2 linked regions of the Oreochromis niloticus genome follow. The protein of the gene in region 1 interacts with the protein of each later gene in a pairwise test. Links are inferred from orthologs where the notes say so. Each region holds a gene or a part of one and is shown in the gene's direction. Other genes may lie near its edges.

Region 1 (11,217 bases):
TGTTAAATACACGCAAGATGTTTACGTAAATCCAAGAGTTGGCCAATCCCTTTTTTTCAGTGTGGACACAGCAGACCCTACAATGAGGAGAGCAGTCATGCGGCAAAGCAGGGAGGGCGGGGTGGGCTCCAGGGTTTAGAGCCGGGAGCAGTGGGGAGCTAATGTACCCATCTATGTTTTTATCCACTTGGCCAAGTGAGAAGTGTCTGTGTGCGGCAGGAAAACATCCTTCGCACGTGCTGTACTTGTTTTGTTCAGGATCCGGTGTAAACCAAACAGAAGAATTGTTATGATCCTTAACCCTGAACCGTGTATTCTCATAGCTCAAGTCTCACTACTTTCCATATACGTACAGAGCAACAGCATAAACAAGTGTTAACTTGACTGCGAAAGCCCACAGTTAAGACGGGGCATTTACATTTCATGCTGGCATCCTCACTCACATTTTTTTTTTCCTGTTGGATCAAGAACACGTCTTCTTACACTCTAGTGCAACACAGAACTGGAGACAAACCAGAGACTCCAACAAGATCGTACACGTAGCCGGAGACGAGCGCACACGTGCTTGGCTTTGAATTTGTCGCGTAATGTTTAACAGAATCTTTCAAATAACATAAACCTCCAGGCGACCTCTTCCTCCCTCTAGTTCTAGTGTGTGTGTGTGTGTACGTGCAATTGCTTGCACACTCGAAATGCTGCTGTGTTTTTTGCATGTTCTTGAGTACGTGTTTCTCCTGAGAACCCAAACACCTCTGGGAGATTACGTGGGGCCAGATAAGGCTGACCAAGAGTCACCACCAGGGCTGCATTCCTGCACAGCTGTTTGAGAATCAGGCACAGAAGGTTTCCCACATTGATAAATGAATACGAACGTGTGCATTCTTCCTCCAGATTTCTCAAGACGTCCACGCTCAGAACAGTGTGCATTTTGTTGCTCTGCACAGTCTTTTTCTTTTTATTCCTTAAGTGAATAATGCAATTTTATTCCACTCTGAAACAGATAACACCGGCACAGACAGCCTTTGTGCTTCAGATTGAATGATAGAAATATGTCGAGGCTCATTATGTAACCATAGAAGTTATCACATTTTCTCCATTTTACTTTACAAGTCAAACGATCAACACCATGCAAGCTGCCTGCTTATTACAGTTTAAGCAACACATTATGATGCACATGTTACACACTAGACTTTTTTCTTTTTTCTCCCAGCATTATCAGTCCCACAGACATATCAAACTGAGAGGAAGTGTGTGTCACATATCTCCGCTTGGACTGGAATGTTCTGACAAATCAACTGTAGCACTGTTTCGTCAACAGAAATGGTATGTCATCGTGATAAGACCGTATTTGAAGAGTCAACAGGGAAAAGAACGAGGGTTTAGTCACACAGTGTTTCTGTAGTTCCTTTGATTATCTTTATATTTCAGAAATTCAAAGCCTGCGAAGCACTCGAGTACAGCGTGTACATCAGTGTACGAACATAATGCTACGTACAATAAACACACGGGTATGCAGGCCTGCGTTCATTTTATACAATGTTTTTCTAAATGCCAGTTCCCAATATCTCAGGATGCTTCATATTAAAGTCAGCAGTCTTGGTAACTGTAAGAATTCTGCTGGATAGATTAAATAGTTTTATGAACTATGAGAACCAGTGTGACTGTAAATGTGACTCTGGTTTGTGTAATTATTCTTTAAGCGAGACTGTAAATAAATATAAAGTTAGAAACTCGTCACTCTTTATGTGTTTTATGCTTTAAAAGCTTTTGATCACGGGAATCACACAAAGTTATTAATTAAGAGGGGAAGAAGGAAGAACTTTGCTCCCAGTTCGTTTAAATGGGTCTTTCCTACTGTACCCGAGCACTCAGAGCACTTCATTCATACAAGCACTTTCTTCTACATAAGTGCTCTCATTTATATGGGGCAACTTTGGGTTAGTATCTTACCCAGAGATACTTAGCATGCAGACTGGAGCAACCGGGAACCAGGGATCAAACCACCAACCTCCCAGTTAGTAGCTGACCCGTTCTACTGCCTGAGCTAGACTTTATGCTAATGAGTTGATGAAACTTGTCAAATTTGGTACTGTTCAGCCATCGCACTACTGATCTCTAGCAGCTCCTTGCTAAATTCACCAATCTCTTTTATTTTATTTCACTTTTTTAAATTCATTTTTATGTAATTGTACTCCTGCTTCTGTCTCATTACTACATCTTTCTTGAGTTATTTTGTCATATTTACTTAATATCTACTAAATTTATGTATGCTTAATGTTTTGCATGCTGTAGCACAATAATTTCACAGTTTTGGGGATAAATAGCATACATTTTATCTTGTTTTCTGTCTATGTCGTGAAAAACGGCCCCCCAACCCCTCGAACTGGGTAAGTGGAAGTAAAGAGATAATTAAATCTTAGGATCTGTAACTGGGGTCAGTTACATTGGGCATCTTGCATTGATCAAACTGATCTAGCTGTATTTTTGTGTGGTAATAATCTTGCTTGCTTTTTTAAAATATGCCATATGAAGGCTTTGTTATGTTATTTAAAAAAACTCCCTTTGTGCAAACACTTGGTGGGGAGTAGGAAGAAAAAACTTCCTTTAACAGGAAGAAAGCTCCAAAAGAATTTTCTCAGGAAAGACAGCCACCTGCCTTCACTGGCTGGCAAACCAAACAAACAGCAGTTTTTGTTGTTGTTTTTTTAAATCAGTAATACTGAGCAACTTCAGACTCAGGGTCATATAGAGACAGACAAAGAGTGATTTAACACAGAACACACAAAGTTACTGACGTGCAATAGCAGCATATAAGTGGATGATAAGTGAGCAAGAGGAGAACAGAGCCGAGCACCACTATGAGTCCTCCAGCAGCCTGGGCCTAAAGCAGCACCTGAACCAGCCCTATGCATTGCATCATCACAGAGAGTGCTGTCATCTTTACTAAACTCGACAGGAGATGGTGGACAATAAGGAATAAGTAAAATAAGGAATTACAATAATTCAGCCTTGAACTGGCAAACGCAGGACTAGTTTTTCAGAATCACTGTGACAGCAGATGTTCCTAATTTGTACAATGTTGCACAGGTGAAAGAAGGCGGTTGTAGAGATTTGTTTAATGTGGCAGTTAAAGAACATATCTTGGCCAGCATGTTTGCTCTCTAACTATCATTCACATGTGAGGAAGACTTATATTTTGCATAGACAAATGGGCAACTGTCAGATAATCGTTATACAAAGTAACATCTGCCATAGTAAAATTTTGTGATCGGTTGTGAAATCAGTATATGGTCTGATTATTTCCTTCTGTGCTTCAAATCCACAAACTATGGTTAGTCTGTAACTCTTCAGAGTAACCATACGGATGCACATTTGCAAGGATCTAGAAATAAAGAGGGACGATCTTAATTACAGAAAAATAAAAAGGCTATGTCAGGTATAGCTTCTTAATAAAGACACATTTAATTGGGAATTGTTGATCAAGAATAAATTAAGATTTTAGAGGATGACACTTCCTTTCTAGCTTTTGTGACATCGGTTTTAAAATTATATGAGAGTGACAAGGAAAGAGAAAGGAAGATTCATGAAAGGAGGGTGTGCTGACTCTGTTATCATCAGTGGCACTGTAACGTGTTTAATGTAGCAAATGAGCAAAGTTCAAGTTGTGCGTCTACACAGTTTTAACCTTCTGAGACCCAGCCTGCTCATTCGCGTCCTCTGTAGTGGACACACAACTCACACACAAAAAAGTTAAACTGAAAGTTTAACCTCCTGAGGTTAGTCATGGAGCTGTATGCTGGTTTATGCATCTGATCAGTCGAGTGAGCAGACTGTGACTCAGTTTACACAGTGCAACACTGCCCTCTAGTTGGTGTTTATAACAAGCCTATCACATGACAGTGCAAACTGCTTCATCGCACTCTGCGTATTGCATACCAGCAGAATGTGCTAAGCACCAAATAATGCGATCCATGCGAAATATTACATATGAACTGCACGTTGACAAGTGATCATTAATGCTATGTAGATTTCTATTTTTCAGTATAGAATAGAATAGAATAGAATAGAATAGAATAGAATACCTTTATTGTCACTATACAGCTGTACAATGAGATACAGAGCATCTCCTACTCAGTGCAAACATGCTGGGGGGTATAAAACATTTCTGTGACATGCTTTAAAATTCATTCGATCAAAAATAGATACACATTTTATTGTATTTATTCAGTGCAGACATTTTGTAAATAAATAACTTTTTACAAATAATTTTTTTTAAACAAGTCCATTAAAGCAATAACATTCTTTAACCACTAGAGGGAGGTGTCCCTCCACGTTATACAAAACTCAATCAGGTTCACACCGCCTCATAAAACGTCAGCTACACTGTGTAAGGTTTTTACAGCGTTTTCCCAAAGATTGCAGCATTTCATAAATCACCCTTTTACTTTTCACTGAGAGCTGATGACCTCTGAACATCTGTGTATCATTAAAGCCGAGACTGGTTAAGCATGAGGGGACGTGAGTGGATATCCTGTTCGATGGCTATCATAATATAACCATAGTATCACCACAATTGCCACTATGTACTCTGTGCAATATGTACTGTTTAGACTCTGCGAGATAGCACAGAAACTTACAGCCAGGAGAACATATTTTGACAGATCCCGAGAGCTGAAGTGACTCAACAGCCAGTTTGAAGAAGCAGATTCGGAGCTGGCAGATGATCAATCAGAGTAACTGTTTGGTGTGAACAATGCAAAATGTCAAACAAAACCTCTTGTTGTGTAGATGTAGACAATTTGTTTAATGTATTTGCCTCAAAAAATGATTTATTTTTGCTTTGGAATATTTTGATTACTTCTTGTGGAACATGGAGAGGAGAAGAAACAGAGGAAATAAATAAATACTGGCCCTTCGTCTTTTTCCTTCAAACTATGTTCGGACATAGATAGATAGATAGATAGATAGATAGATAGATAGATAGATAGATAGATAGATAGATAGATAGATAGATAGATAGATCACGATTCTCACGATCACGAAAACTGGGTACTTTTCCTATATGTGACTTGAAATCGGACATGAGAGATGCATCTGCACCTACTGTTTGTCGAAGTCTTATCAGAAATGGTCTCAGTGGAAGGGTGGCCGTCAAGAAGACATTCGTATGGAAGGGAAACAAGGGAAAAAGGCTGTCATGGTTTGGAACAACACCAATAGTATTTCGGCTAGATTTTGATTCACCATGCAATACCATCTGGAAACCATCTGATTGGCAAAAGCTTCATATATCAGTATGACAATGATCCCAAAGACACTGCCACTGCAGTAAAAGCATACCTGGGTAGAAAAACACACCTCCCCAGACACCGGACCTCAAGCCCTGTTACCTCTGGAGAAAGGTAATTTCCCGTTACATAAATAATATGGCTGTGACGTAATCCTAGCAGTGACCGGGAGTTGTTATCTTTGCTTTTCTGTGCAAAACTTTCTAAAAAACCAAAGAGTAAATATTTCCGGCAGCAAATGAAAGTATGAAACTACACTGAGAAAGTCGAAAGAAAAAGGAGGAAATAGGTGCATAAGGTGCATGAAATTAATTACATAAAACTGACACTTGGGAAAGTGTTACAAAATCGTATTACACAAGCAGTTATGAATGCCTTCTGGTAGGTTTCCTATTTCCCCTGGTGTCAAAACCTCCCGCTCAAACTTTCGCAGTAATATGACTTCTGCTTGGTTTTATTTGACTGTAAAGGACTTGGAGGTTAAGAAGTTCCAGTTAGAGCGTTGACATTTGGCACACTGACAACTTTACTACGTCTCTTCCGTAGTTATGAAACTTTCAAGCGCAGGTTTTGTAACCGAGAGGTCCCGACCAATCACGGCACGAGTCTGCTGCTCACGTGACAATTATTTTTTTTATGTAACAATCGGGTATCTGTGGGAAAGTGCGTTCAATATACCGCAAAGGACCACGGCAGCCGTAGAAATGTATAAACACGTTACCAGAAGAAAACTTAAGTCTCTATAACATACTATTGCTCATCTTTTTAGACGCTAATATGTCGCTCCAGCCGCAAGCGGCGGACGCCCTGGAGGAGAGAAGCGCCTTCTTCATCGGTGCTGACTCGGGCAACGTCTCGGAAGAGGAGGACCACCATGAACTTATACTTCAGAAAGCTAACGCTCTAGCGTCCGAAAACTGCCTTAGAGAAGCCATTGACTGGTTTTCAGCTGCTATGCGGTACAGTCCTGTGCGGCCCGAGCAGCTCAGCACTTTCGTGGACTGTATCCTCCGCAACTTTAAGAGGAAAGCGGCCGGGCCGGAGCCGCTGTCGGGCCGTAGTAGCCGGGATGCGGCGGAGAGCTCCGCGGAGGAGGACGTGCTGGAGTGTCCTAACTGTCACTGCTTTCTAGGTGAACCCGTGACCTTAGCCTGTGGACATTCATACTGTAAACGATGCTTACAGCGACGGCTACTTCACAAATGTAAACTGTGTAGTGAACACGTGAGGGGCGAGGAGAAAGTGAACGTGATTTTGTGCGCACTACTAAGTAAATGGTTCCCGGAGGAAGTGGAAAAATCGAAAAAAGTAACGGAAGTGGACGCACTCTGTAGAAGAAAACGCTACCAAGAAGCCGTGGAGCTAGCAACCGACGTGATTCAGTCAGGTCAGTGTTGTTAACAGTGCCAGCCGTGCACTCGGGAGAGGTGTGTCTACTGCGCACTCTCACCGAGCAGGCGTGACTGGAGTGCGGATGTGTTATTACTTAACCAGGGTTGTGTAGTAGTGACGGGAGCGGGATACGTGTATGGCCCGTGCCCTCAATGGATTCAGAGGGGACAACATGGTGACCAATATTTTCTTTAAGTAGTAATTACTTAATTTCATGTGTTATACTGACGCCAGTCTCCTCCTGCTCTGCCTATCTGCTGGGCCCAGCTTACGAAATTGCACAAGATGGGCATGCGCGCTTGGTGCACGTTGCGTAAGGCAGGTCGTGACACATATTGGAGCAGGTTTTGTAACTTATTATGGGGGGAGGGCGGTTGTATTTTGTAATTGTTATGTCTGGGCGAACCACGGTTTCATAAATGTCTTAGAAGGTGGGAGGGGGGGATGGATTCACCGAGGGGTAAAGCAAGGCAAGGCCGGGGGTCCGTATACACACCCAGCAAAGGCAGCAAGTTATGCAATGAAAGAAACTAAACCAGGCTGGTTTATTTATTTGTAGTTAGCCTGCTAGTGATGTGGGAGGTTTGTTGGCGTTGAGTTTCGCAGGTGCAGATGCAAGTATTGATAGGAAACCCCTATGTGGGTGTATTGAAGTGAGTAATGCTCCTCTGTCCGGTAAAAACAAACTCCAGTCATACTGAAAACTGTACACTGAGTTCCCAGGTTAAAGAGGAAAAACAGGCCAGAGGATAGCATGCCCTGCCTTCGTGAAAACAAAAATAGAAAGTAAAGCAGTGTGATGCATTGTGGGTATGCTGCTGTCTTACAAGAGGAACAGGCTTTCTTTTCCTTCTTTTTTTTAATTTCCTGATTACTAAATTTCTGATTACTTTCAATCACACAATGAAGGAACTCTAGTCTATTCATTAAACTTGTGCTGTTATAGTAATTAGGGTAGTAGTTCTATAGCCTGGCAGCTTGACAGTAGGTCTGGAAAACTGCTTTGGACCTGCATGTGATTTAATATCTCATGTAACATGCTGTATCCTTTTTGACCTCTGTTACTCAGACATTAGCAGCACAATATCAGGATGTTTAGCGAAAGGGTTACCCGTGTTCCAGGAACCCCCAGGGACTCAGACTTGAAAGCATGTCTTAGTTAATCAGAACAAAATAAATTGCATTTGATAGTTTGAGTAACTTAAAGCAAAACTTTATCCCCCCCTTTTTCCCCTAAAATGGTAAATGGTTTGTTTTTTCTGGATGTAACATGGAGCTTGCTGAGGATAAATTAAGAAATAATCAATACAACCCAAATGCACTTCCTCCCCTACATTAGATGCTTGGAGTTACTTGCTTTCAAATTAACATCATATATTTGTTTGTTCGTTTTTTTTCTCGTTTGCTGCTTCGACTATTTTAAAAAGGAAGGAAGGGCTGTGTGCCGGATGACAAATGACAAAATATGAAATTACAGCCTGACCTGTTCCTGGATTGTCTCTCAGGTCGTCCCAAAAGCAGTGATTTGTACACATTAAAGGTTACATAAAGATAACAGCGGCATCACCCTTCTGTCACTTGACAGTGGGTCGAGGACTTCACACCGATGCCACTGAGGCGCTATTGCAGTCGACAGTACCTGCTTATGACAGTGCAGACCCACAGTTCTGCATCCAACCTGAGGGGAGGATAGAAAGTTCCAGACACAGAGGGGGTGCTTTGCTGATGTAATGATGACAAGACAAACTACCCTTACCCTTCCAATTAGTATCTCGAATGCTCCATAGAAATGAGATAATCTCTCTCAGGGAAACGTAATACATTATTAGCACTGACAGTATGCAATGTGGTTTATGATGACACAGCAGTTAAATAACAAACTTCATCTGCCACGCAGACAGATTGCTTTAAAAGGCTGAGGCAGGATGATTACATAGCCAGTGGAATATATCTTCATCTTAATGTTTAGTCTTTCTCACAGGTGGAAGTATTTAGAGCTGTTTTAGGCCCTCCTTAATGGCAGCTGTTCTACCATCAACAAAGCAGTCTGCCTTTCAAAAAAGCCTGTCATTGTGTTTAAAGCATATGTCATGTTTTGTAGTGCTTTTTCTTTTTAATTTAAACTACCACAGTGGACAGAACTATATAGTCAACCAATCTCTCTCTGGTCTTGCAGGCTTCTGCAGCTTGTTTTCCTTTTACACTGTTTGGCCAGAATTCATTGACACAGTTAATATGTAATGCAGGGTCCTGATTAATTGCATAATGTATGACTTGCAGGAAATATTTTCTGTTGAGGGGAAAACAGTACTTGCCTGTGCAGCTAGGAAATATTGTGGGGTAGCTCAGTGTGTTATAGACTTAATTGGTATGTGTGCTATTACATGTATGTGACATGCAACACAATCATTCAGCAACTAAATGGTTTGTATTTGTGCAAGTGTTGAGGTTTAAGCAATTTCCTCTGGCCATTGAAGGTTTTTCTTTCCCCCCTCCTTTTCATCCTGTCCCCTGCAGATCCAGACACGACGGCGGTGGCGCGACTGTCTCGAGCGGAGGCGTACATGGGTCTGAAACAGTACCGCCAGGCTTTGGAGGACACTAACGTTTGTCCCCGATCCAGCTGTTCTGCTGAAGTAGGTCATTCAGTGATACTCCAGGAATATGTTAGTCTGCTGTAAAAATAGAAATGAAGCATGACTAATAAATAATAACGAAACAGGATGACTTTGTAAAATTTGTAAAAGTCTGAAGGATTTATGTGGTTGAATGACTGGTGTTGGGTAAGTTAGCATAGAACTTTTTTTTTCAATGTAAGCCCTAAGGTTAGTGGATGACTCACACAACTACCTTTTGCATAGTCGAGTCTAGCGTGCATTCACCTGTTGTGATATATCGGTCAGCCAGCCTTTACTTAGAAAAGGTGTATTTTAAGACTGCTGCCGTCACAGCCCCACAGATGGAGAGAGAGTGGCCTCATTAACTGTGTCATTAGTGTCGTTAGATGCTAATGACCTGTAAATTGCAGACCAGTTTACAGCAGCAAGGTTTATTCATTCATCCACATTGTTATAGAACACTTTACAAGGTTTATGTTGGATTAGTGACCAGTGAATTATACTTCCCAGAGAATGACTTTTTGCTGATCTAACTGTTTGCTTATAGGCCGTACTTTTAACAGTGGGCTGCTATTTTTACTGTTACATAAAGGATCTTCTCTTTGGGTAAATGTGTTACAAAAGAGTGTCATGACCAGTCAAGGTTTTCTCGATGGCAGCTGAGAATGCAGTGATTAAGGTCACAGACATTAACAACTATTACATCACAAGCATGACACCAAACGTGTGTGTCGAATGCCTACGATATGTTTTGTGATTTTATCTATGTGATGCATAGTCATATTGACAGGCATTGAAAGCATTGTGTATGTGTATATATATATATATATATATATGTATAAAAGCTACACCTGTAGCTTGTGTATTTGAAGCTTGTCTGAGAGTCACATTTGCACGTCTTCTTTCAGGCTTTATTTAGGAAAGCTATGGTGCTGCATGAGATGGGCCAAGTGGACGAGTCTCTCCAAGTCTTCCTCCACTGCCTGGCTGTTGATGAGGACTTCCCCTGTGCTAAAAGACAAGTGGAAAAGGTGAGAGGGTTACGGTGTCTGCTGCGAGCCTGCTGCCAGGGAGGAAGTGGAATTCATACTGTTTTAACTATTTTAAGTAGTTTAGGTCCAGGGCATGAGTGTCTAAGCTGGGAACACAACGCTCTCCTTCTCCTTATTCATTTATTATTTACTTTAGAGCCATTTGTCTGTTTATTTAGGATCTGCTATTATATTACAACCCTAATGTAATCTCCCTTTGTCATGACATCTTAATCTTAACTACTGAATAACCCATTTAACTTGGAGCATGGTATAGACATTAGGTTTTATAAGCATCCTGAATGGAAGGAGCTGTTGCGTTGCTGTGTTTTTAATAGGATTTATATTGTCAAATGTCCTTTACAGATTTATTATTCTGGTCATTGATGCTGATATATTTAAATTGAAAAGAGAAAGTAAGAAATTAATTACCTAGGCCGTGGGAGGAACATTAAAACTGTTGGAAATATGGAAATATGAAGCATTTACTGTTGGTGCTTTACTCAGGGTGATGATTGTGGACTGTATGAGGGACAGTGGATGCACACAAATGACATTGCTTTTGGTTTTTACTTCCACTTCCGTGAACTTTGCCTGTTCCTTCTATCTCCCTGGGATCATCTGTCTTGGAATTGCATAAGTCGTTAGTGGGTCAGATCTTATGACTGTGCCTCTAATGACGTTAGTACCACTTAAAAGTCAGACAGAGCACAGTATTGTAGTTACATAAGTGACATGCAGTTGACTAATGTATGCAGGACTACATTCGTTCTCTGCATAACGTGACAGTTCGCCATTATGTGCTGAACCTGGTCTGTGTTCAGCTGCCGATACAAGCGTTTTGTGTAATCGCGTTTGAAATTGATTCGTTTGGTCATTTTGGGTTAC
Region 2 (11,005 bases), on another chromosome or scaffold:
AGAAAAAATACCATCGTTCTTGCTGATCTTTATCAAACCTCATGAAAGGATTTGAACAGCAATATCTGTTGTAGCAGAAACCACAGCAAAATTCTGTAAAGCATTCCTGGGAACTCTGATAACTGGACACGGTGCTCTGAGTCCCGAACCTTTCTGAGTATCCCAAGCACTCGTCCCCTGATGAAACAGAGCAGACACGGAAAACAAAGAGAAATGAGCACATTTCAGATAATTCAATGAATTTTTAGTTAAGATAATTCACTGCTCAGTGCAGCGACATGTTGACTTTTAGGGAGTTTTTCAACTTCAGTGTAATTTCAGAGGCTGTAGTTGTGGGTGTTGTTGAACTGTACAACATTGTATAAAAAGGTTGTGTTTTCACACCCTTATTTAGGCTCAGCTCCCAGTTTGGAGCCCTTAATTATATTTATTATATTCCGCATGCGAGAAAATGCTGGGAAGACTGAGCAGCAAGACAGACACTCTAACAGAATAATGGGACAGTTTTTGTTTTTATGGGTCTACAGCATGATGACAATGTGAGATACAGTTTGAATTAAGAATTAAGGCTCTTGTGTGCGCAACAGTTTATTTATAAATTATATATATATATATATATTTTTTTATTATTTATTAAAAAAAAATCCCTCACTGAGTGTGGTTTTTGTTGTTTTGTGTTGTTATGTTATGTTTGTTTAAATGTTCAAAAATAATAAAACTTTAATTACGAAAACTTATATGTATTATATTTATACAAAATTAAACTTCCAAATGATGATTATTATAACCTTTAAAGATTTGTATTTCTTTATGCCTGCTGCTTTACATCGGATATAATGGCCTTGCCTGTACTTAATTACCTGGCAACTTGAGTTACCAGATTATAGCTTATAACATTAGAAAATACCCAGACACTGACACTGGTTAACATTCAATGTGTCCGTGTGAGTATTCCTATGTTTAAATGACTGAATTAAACAAACTATTTATTATAAGATTTAAAGCACAAAACTGCAACTTAAAACAATAATAATAACACGGTAGCGGCCTGTTTAGTACTGGTATGAAGATGACATCACACACTGATTGCCTGTGATTCATCGAATGCCATTTACAGATTAAAATAATCAAACTTACCGGATACACGAGGGGACAGGATCACATAGAGAGCCAACACAACAATACTGGACACCACTGGTGCCATGGTTACTCCCGCATCCCCAAAACCAGTAAAGGAACTGGAAATCTCCTGCGATACTCTTAGAGGAAACGTTTGATTTGAATCAACCGCTGATGTTCGGTCTGATCGTCAATACGGAACTCAGTTCATGTTCCAGCCCACTGGCAGACTTTCTTCACTCACAAAAGTTTGCATGCATCATTCACCCGTAACTGAACTGCAAAGGCGATCAAATGTCACACTGCGGCTCTTATATTGTTTTCAGCTTTCCTTTCCTTTTAAAGCACAACATTTTGGGAGGAGAGCATTTAAATGAATCATACATAAACTGAAAATTTGTGGCACGCATTTGAATGCAAAGAAAAGCATGTCTTATTTTGACTGCGAGATTTGTGATAGAGTGACTTGTTTAAGTCGCACTCCGGGATGGACTGCTTATTAAATATGTTTACGGTGGCTCAGGATTCAGAGTGGGTTGTCTACTACTCCAAAGGTTGGACCTTTTACATCTACAAGATGAAATGTCCCTGGACAAGACATGAACCCCACGTATGAATCCATCCGTCTGGGTTTGCGTGTGAGCGCTAAAATGTGTCTGTGGATACAGTTTGAAATTTTAAGAGTGCTAGGTGAGAGTAAGAAAACACAAGCTTCAGTCCATTTACAATTAATTAAACTAACTAACCTTAAAAACTGAGCTAGCTATTGTAGCAAACAATTATATGATTTAGAAGTAAAAGCGTGTAATTGACCTGTTGGTCCACTAGGGGACGTCGTGCGGACGTGATACTGGGCTGGATTTTGAAATTATTTTAGCTGGGATGTTTGTCCGCTTGCGCTGAATTGTCAGCTGAATTTGTATTAATATAATTTGTTTATTGCTGATGTGTTCATTAAACCTGTCCAGGGACTGCGGATGGAAATCAGCCATCAGCTAAATCAGGTACAATTTTCTCTTAGAAGGTTAATGTTTGTTGTACATGGTCCCTGACGAATAAAGAGGAAAATGAAATGAAAGGTATTTTTGGTAGCTATCATGTGGGTGATGAATGGATGGATGAATGTCGTTACATCTGGCACTGACTCGCTGCTGATAGCGAAAAAATTCTGAACCTGTTAGTTGAGCTCTAATCACCCTGAGAGTTGTCAGGTCCAGAAATAAAGCATGCACTTTACATTACCTGCATTCAGGTGGAGTCCAGTCCACTACTGCCACCTAGTGCCACAGCCTACAACCAGATTAAAACTCGGTCTATGACGGCGTTTTAATTCCCATTTAATACACATCTGCAACTTTCAATAATTTTCTGTTTCAACTTCTTATGTATTTCTGGCTTACATCAGTCAGAAGAAACGCAGGTATAATTATGCACACAGAGTTTTATAAATCACTGATCCTGTTATTCTTATTATGATTTTCAAATCGAAGATATTTCATAACAAAGAATACGTGTTTCAGATTGTAATAGTGTGCTTGTGTTAACAACATCACAGTCTGTTAAGATAACTTTCCAGTGTTTTTACTTTGAAAATAAATGTGAATCTTAAATGTTAAACATTAGGGGCATTTTTATGTTGCATTAGTGAAACTGCAGTCACCTGGGACAATCATCCAGTGTTTGTAAAGAACACCTGAGGAAAATATGGATGACTGAGACTTTGTTTACTGCCTGGCTCAGAGCACAGACTGTTCAGTGTCACTGTAAATGTTGGTACAAATAAAAGCTTTGAACTGTACTGATTTGCATGGATGGATGGGTGGCATTCATTTTATCGGTCATTCCCAGGCAAGGTGAGTTTAAGTAACTGCTTTAGTACACTTAAATAATACAGTCTGACATAAGTACAGGTATGAGGGTAAAACTTTAGGAAACACTGCTAAAGTCAAAATAGATCAGCAGAGGGCAGCAAAACACCGCAACCATAAATCTGAAGTGACGGTGAAAAACCTCACAGATCCAGAGGGCAGAAACAAGTGTAGATTCTTCAGAGTAAGACATTTGAAATTCTTTTTGCAATGCTATTGTTGTTGTTCTGAGTAAAGTGCTTTTTTTCCCCTCCGCATACACTTGTAGTCAGCACCAGTACAGCCACAATAGGTGATTATAAACAATGGGAATTACAGTTCTTATAAAAACTAAAGCTCATTTAAGTCTTAAAGCCTTTTTGATCACTCTTTCTTTGCCAGTATTTGGTGCTGAAATACTATGTTAAACTGAGGTTCTGAGTTTTTCACTTACAATGTATGAGAAAGAATGGCTCAGATATATACACTGCAAAATATTACATTAGAACTGTTTAAACAATGAAGCATTCAGTTGCATTAAAATGAATTCATTTTAAACAGCTGCACCTAATAAAATGGTAACAATGTGTAATGTGTTTACTGAGTTTAGCCTTGGTTTGGCACCATAGGCTTTGTCAACAACCTTTCACCCACACGCATGCAAGAACACCTGCAAAGATTACAAGACAATCTAAAATCCATTAAGGCACCAATCCAAGTTTAGTGTCACTCTTTAAATCCAGACATCACATGCAGCGAAAACCTCTAGAGCGATTAACAAGTCTTTCGAGTCGTAATCTGATTTCAGTTTGAGTGTTTTGCATCATTGTAACAATTCAAATACACATAAAGTTGTAGTTTAGAGAGCTGTTGTTAAATTACAAAGTCTCTGCAAATCTTAGATGGAGGTAAAAGGTGATTAAACACAATGACTGTAAGTTATTTTTAACGGCTACAAACAGAATAAATACTACAAAGATCGGAGTAAATATAAAAGGGAGATATGGCAATCAAAGAATCGTGAATTAAAATCTGTGGTAGAATTCACAAAGATGGTGACTTCCAATGGGGTTAAAGAGTTTCTAAATCTTACTTTTGTGCGAAATCAGCAAACTTTATAAGCATTTTTTATAAATTTTGACCAGTAATTATGTGCAGGCAGTCTTTATGTCCTACTTACAATTAAAATTAAAGTAAATTTAAGTAATTCTTCAAAATCACTGCCCAACTAAGGTCCAACTGAATACATTTAAATATAACTCTCATGCTTCTAGTAGGGCTTTGCAGGTAATATGAAGCACCGGAAACCCCACGGTTCCCTCTTTCCCCAGCACACCAACCTGATCTCATGGCATTTCATTAAAGATTCAAAAAATGGATTGACTCATGCTCATGGACACAAATATTCATTTACTTTTGTACTAATTGAAACCCCCATAAATACTTTCAGTTCAAGCCACTGCAACAAAATAAGGAAACACATGACAAAGAGCTGACAACTCACAAAACACATGATAAATGTCACAAAAGAATCATAATGCACCTTCAGGGCCTTCATCATACAACTTTTAAAACATCCGCCTACTCATGTGAATGTCTCTTATATCATCTTAGATTAATTTGTGTGTAGCCCACATTTATCAGCCACAGGTTTTGCTGTAGCTTGGGGTGTGGCAGTGCAAAAATCAAAAGATAAACAAAAAAAAGTAAAGCAACAAAAGAAGCAAAATAATAATTGAATTAAATCACTCCAAACTCCAGATTAAGTGATAGGCTGTTACTACAAGAGAAGCAAACATAAAACATTTTCAGCCATAGTTTCAGCCATAACATCAGCTGTGGCATAAACCCAAATATCCTTTAGAAAAGCCAAGTGGAGAAATACTCCCACGTTTCAGTTACAACGACTCTTTTCCATGAGCTGCTTTCTTTCTGAAGCTCTTTGTGGTTGTGGGTCTTTTATGAGCATGAGAAAAAAGGAATCCTTTTACTCTACAAGTTCCCTAGCCCCCTCCAACACCTTTGGGCCCCTGAGCCTTGTTGGGCATGCTATTTTTCCCTTTTACAATAAAAGCATAACACAAAAATAATGGCAAGGAAATCAATTAAATCATAACGGAACAAAACAATGAGGTGAAAGAGTTACGGGGTCATGAGAGACATTAAAAATCACAGATATCAATATCTTTTTCTTATGGGAAGAATAGAATAAATTGGGCCACATAAAGTTCCATTTCCTTCATGAAAAAAAAAAAGGAAGCGTGGCTTCTCTTTTGAGAGTTTACATTTATGGATGTGGTGTCTGACAAGGAGTAAAAGCCAACAGATGAGGTACTGCTCTCGTATTTCTTACAACCAAATAAGATGTGAAATACAAATATATAGAAATAGAAATGAAAATAAAAAATTCTGACAGCATGTTGTTAGAGATAAAACCAAAATGCTTTTCCAAAATGCTTTTCCATGACACCTGCATAAAAGTACAAAACCAAAATAAATGACATCTAAATCGCTTTTATAGTTTTGTTGGAAGTTTGGGGATTCAATCTATGAATTCATGTAAAGGAAACCACCTTCACCGTGTTTGTAATGACCAAATCCTTTCCACTCAAGTGTCCTTAACAAAACCTTGCTGGGTCCGCTGCCAGATAGGCGAGAGTGTTTGATGACGCACACAGAACGTCAGAATTAAGATCTCGCGATACTTCGTCTGGGCATTACTTTATAAGAACTGGCTCGCCCTCGTCCTCTCCGTTCGTCCTCAGTGCAGGATAACGAAGAGTCGTTTTGCTCTGCTTCCGTTAACAACAAGCTGTGTTTTCTTTTATTTCTCTGAGCAGCACCCAAGATCGCTTATTGTCACTATAACACGACGAGGATTACACCGGAAGCTGTGAAGTTTTAAGAGGTAGGTGTTCTTATTTGACCTCATCGCGATCATCACCCCTATTTCGAGTAGCTTCTTAGCTAATGTTAGCCGTCCTGCTAAGATCAGTCAACCGGCAAGGATCACGATGGGCCCGGTTAACGATAGGAAAGCCAGGCTGACACTTTTTATGTCTCGAAACGATCTCATCGCGATATTTATTACCATCGGAGACACATAAGGTATGACTTTTGCTCAACTTTTGCGCAAAAAAAATGGTGAGTCAAAACAGGAAAATACCTGTTAAACCAGTGAATTTATTTAAAGTGTTGAGGTTTTAATAAATCTATTTTTATTGTAACACCGGTTGAGTAGAGATGGGTAGACCATATGAATAAACATAAATCATGGTCATAATTATCGTAAGCAGCGTTGTTTAGGTAGAGCGCTACTGTTTTTAGTTTAGATTAAACTGATGGGGTTTTTACTAGCCCGGAGACGCCCATGAGTTCAGTCAAAGTAAGGACTGTAGGACAACTCGGGTATAAGCAGGGGTATTTAATCAGGCAGAAGACAGAAGTTTCATTATTAATAATAACAACAATAATATAATTTATCATCATCATCATCATCATCATCATCATCATTATTATTATTATTATTATTATTATTATTATTATCGTCATCATCATCATGTTTCGTCAGTAGCACTTTGAGTAGCTTTAAATAAGTCGACAAATAATGTGGGTATCATTATTAAAGGCATATAAATAAACAGAAACAAAGACTAGCTTTTCTTTGTTTGGAACTCTATGAATTACATTGGCATTACTTTTATGTTATGTATGTATTGATCTCTATCTAGTGTTTATATAAGGGAAAGAGCAGCTTCGACGTACCACATTAGTCACTGTTAGATTTCTCTGGAACTTCATAGGGAGCAAAGTTCAGGTGTGGGTGTCCTACCTGGGAACTGGTTTCTGTTGGGGAAAGGTTATGACCCAGCTATGAGCAAACACTCAGTGTTGGGCAAGTTACTTTGAAATAGTAATTCAATTACAGTTACTAGTTACTTCTTCAAAAAGTAACTGAGTTAGTAACTCAGTTACAATATTCTAAAAGTAATTAATTACTTGGAAAAGTAACTATTGCGTTACTTTAAAAACAAAAACAAAGAACGTTTAACCCTCTGGCGTCCAGAGTATAATTGGCCATTTTTTTACTACTCTTGATTTTCTCTCCACATTTTACCTTTAAAAACTATTTACTTTGCCTTGTTTGGTATCATTCTTTTTAGCGCAACCTCACGAGCCTGAATTTACAGTTATGTTCTCATTTTATCATACTGTATAACCAGAATTGATCTAAAATCAAACAAAAAACATAAAATCAGAGTAGAAAAAGTTATATTTTTACTGTAACAACCATAAACACGTTTAATGAATCATATTTCATAACTTCAAATACAAATATAAATTGTCAGTTTTAAAATTATATGCACAAGTTTTGCAAACAACAAAGTTATTTGCATCCATTTACCTTTTACCCTTTTTTTTTAAATAACCATTTCAAACTATTTACAGAACAATCAGCTGTTCTGCTTCTGCATTCAATAAGATGCCACACAAATTATTTGTGCCACTCCAAAAAAATAATTTCTGTCCACTATAAAGGAGAACATCACAGCCTGATACCTGCAGGTCTGACAGCAGCAGGTGTATCACTCCTGTTTCTACCTGGAGACAGCAGTCGCCTCATTGTTCTGACACACAACACAAAACTATACACAACACTACACACTAACTACACAAGACAACACATGAACTACACACTCCAAACACGCTAAACGTCACAAATCTCAAAACTCGCTCTCTCTCTTTTCCTGCTCTCTCTCTCTCTCTCGCCGTCACTCCTAAAACTTTTGTTTTGTTTGCTCATAAGCAGAGAGTGCTTGCTAGCGCTAACGTGGCGAAACTATTGAGGAAAAAACGCCGCGTATATATTGTTTATCATGACTCTGGTTTTACGTGGCCTATCAACACAATTTATAAACTGGTATATATCACCTTGTTGCTTTGTCTTTAAGTGGTCGTGTGATTGACTTACCACGACTACTTTATTCTTCCTCAGTCAAACAGCAGCACTCATGCGATTGTTTTGCCTCCTGAGCTCCAGGTGTTGTGCTGGACAGTGCTCGTGATTAGCGTCCGCGGGAGCGCGCGCAGCTGCTTAAAGCTGTAGCGTCCAGAAGATGCGGTAAGCTGAACACAGCTTCAACCGTCTGTTTGTTGAAAAATAGTAACGGACCGCGTTTCCTTGTTAGTAACTGTAACGCCGTTGTAACGATAGGAATAGTAATTAGTTAGATTACTCGTTACTGAAAAAAGTAACGCCGTTAGTAACGCCGTTACTTGTAACGCCGTTATTCCCATCACTGCAAACACTGCAGGCTTCTTAAAGTAACACTTGACTATTGTGAGTGTAGCCAAACATGTGGGCTCGTAAGAGTCTTTCAGCTTTCACGTATTATATCAGTGGCTCAGTGAACTCATCTCACCTGCCTTTGAAAGACTGAGATAATCAGATCTCATTCTCACTTGTTTTTGTTTTTCAAAATCTAGATTTAGCTGAACCATGTAGGAGTGTTTGACCATAAACAGCATTTTCCCACTTCCTTGACCTATGTTGTAAAACAGGTTTTTGCAACAGACAGGCTTTTTCTTCTAAAAAGCCTTTTTTCCTTTCTTTTATGGAACAAAAACATTATCTGCATTGTCTGCAGGACACGTTTCACATAAGTTTTCTCTTTCTCCTTTAGAACTCGAGACAATCATCGTCATCACCGCTGCTGATTATGGATGTAATAGTGCGCCGCTGTCCTTTCTTGGCTCGCATGCCCCAGGCCTTTCTCCAGCAGTCCAAAAAGGCGCTGGTGACCTACGCCCAGCGATGCCCCATCATGATGGAGCTGGCTGCAAAACCTATGGCCCCTTCAATGGCACGTGCCCTCTGTTCCTCCTCATCCTCCCACCAGAAGCCTGAGAACACCATGTCTGCCGGTGAGGATGATAAAGATGGTGGTGATACTGGCTATTCTAATCAACACTACAGCTGTATTATATTTAGTCAAATAAATCATGTAATGATAGAATTACTGATAAATGTGAAATTTAAAACTTTTGTCCCTTTGCAGCCCCCAAACAGGAGGTGGAGTCCAAGCTGCCGGCTGGCCACCCTATGCCACCTCCAGGACAGATGATGGCCTCCAAATGCCCTTTCCTGGCTGCTGAGATGAGCCAGAAGAACAGTGGTGTAGTCCGTCAGGTTGGCATAGAGTTCCAAGAGGATGTACAGGAAGTGCGCACTGTGAAGAAAGGTAAGGGTTTTTTGTTGTTGGTTTTTTGTTTTTTGTTTTTTTTCTTTGAGAAATTAATCAGGTTTCCATAGTTTTGTACAGTATTTGACAGCATTTTGTTTTTGTCATGACAGAAGTGCCTGCTGACCAACTAAAGCAGCCAAACTTGGCCAGTACTACCGAAGGAGAAACCACATTAATGAAAACCCTCCTGAAACAGCGACCTAAGAAAGTCAGCCACCTGCTGCAAGACAACTTACCAGGAAGAAGTAGGTTTTATGTTGATAGTTTTATCACACTGTCCTGCAAGCCTGTGATTAATCTAGATACTGTCTGCCTTACTATGACAATCTTTTCTTTTTTTAGTTGCAAGTATGTTTTGGTGTTTTTGCACACGGGTGTAGTCTTTCCTCATGTTAAAGTTGCTCCATCAGTTGCAGTACTGTAGCAACACTAAGCCACATTAAGCAACCTTATACCTTCCTCTTCTTTTCCAGCGGCCCGCTTCCAGTACGATGCGTTTTTTGAGAAGAAGATCGAAGAGAAGAAGAACGATCACACGTACCGCGTGTTTAAGACCGTGAATCGTCGGGCCACTGAGTTCCCGATGGCTGACGACTTCACAAGCTCTTTACAAGAAAAGCGTGACGTGTCGGTTTGGTGCAGCAACGACTACCTGGGCATGAGTCGACACCCTCGAGTCGTGCAGTCCATCATGTGAGTAACTGAGTAGTTAATCCAGTTTAATGGGTCAAGGTGCGTTGATGTGTACGGCCTGTCTACCTTCCCTGATTGCTTTTTACTTTTTGTCCCTCTGTGAGAGCTGAGTTCAGAGAGAAACCAGCACAGAGCATAATTACATGATGCAACCTGACACCCTTGGGTGTTGAGTTGGACATGGATCACACCTAAACCTCATGTGTCACGATGATGATGTTGTTTTTCTTCTTCTTTTTTTTTTTTTCTTTTTTTTTTCCCCTCAACTTGTTTGAGCTTGTTGGATCTTGCATACACGTCTGCAGCATTTTAATGAGCAACTGTTTGTCTATTGCCAGGGATACTTTACAAAAACATGGCTCGGGGGCAGGAGGTACCAGGAATATCTCTGGGACCAGTAAATTCCACGTGGAGCTAGAACAAGAGTTGGCTGACCTTCACAAGAAGGATGCGGCGCTGCTGTTCACCTCCTGCTTCGTTGCCAATGACTCCACCCTCTTCACCCTTGCGAAGATGCTGCCTGGTATGCAGACGGAAAAACTTGGTGTATTTAACAGTAATTCGAACCTCCTGTAAGCGTGTTTGGTCTCATTGACGATTTCCTCTCGTCTGAACATTTTTAGGTTGTGAAATCTACTCTGACGCAGGTAACCACGCCTCAATGATTCAGGGTATCAGGAACAGCGGTGCTAAGAAATTCATTTTCCGCCACAATGATGTGGCCCATCTTCGAGAGCTCCTGGAGAAAGGAGATCCCACAAAACCAAAGATCGTGGCTTTTGAGACCGTCCATTCCATGGATGGTCAGTTTCTAATTACTGCTTCACTGCTGTTGGATAAATGTTAATTTTTCTTAATGTTTTTTTTAAAACTTTCGTCTTACTGCATGTGTCCTGGAAAATATTACTGTTCTTGCAAAATCAATAATTCATTCAAACTAAGTATCATGAAGTGCTCTTTAAGAAGCAAAAAACAAGTCTGACCAGGTTTGTGTGCCTTTCTTTCTGTAACAGGTGCTGTGTGTCCGCTGGAGGAAATGTGCGACTTGGCCCACGAGTTTGGCGCCATCACCTTTGTGGACGAGGTTCACGCTGTGGGCCT

The links.
Region 2: the proteins of lonrf1 (region 1) and alas1 interact in binary tests that used the Homo sapiens proteins (3 or more experiments, as listed by UniProt). The two-hybrid records come from large-scale screens. The link is inferred for Oreochromis niloticus from reciprocal best matches to the Homo sapiens genes LONRF1 and ALAS1.

What each region holds. Positions count from the first base shown.
Region 1 is NC_031971.2:21,180,193-21,191,409, forward strand, and holds the start of lonrf1 (LON peptidase N-terminal domain and RING finger protein 1), read left to right. Parts: upstream 1-5,908; 5' UTR 5,909-6,065; coding exon 6,066-6,675; intron 6,676-9,197; coding exon 9,198-9,316; intron 9,317-10,206; coding exon 10,207-10,329; intron 10,330-11,217.
Region 2 is NC_031970.2:19,676,369-19,687,373, reverse strand, and holds the start of alas1 (5-aminolevulinate synthase, non-specific, mitochondrial), read left to right. Parts: upstream 1-5,703; 5' UTR 5,704-5,874; intron 5,875-8,650; 5' UTR 8,651-8,686; coding exon 8,687-8,891; intron 8,892-9,025; coding exon 9,026-9,208; intron 9,209-9,321; coding exon 9,322-9,456; intron 9,457-9,684; coding exon 9,685-9,904; intron 9,905-10,242; coding exon 10,243-10,427; intron 10,428-10,527; coding exon 10,528-10,707; intron 10,708-10,917; coding exon 10,918-11,005. Other genes in the region: protein shisa-4-like, read right to left, coding at 12-177, 1,138-1,204.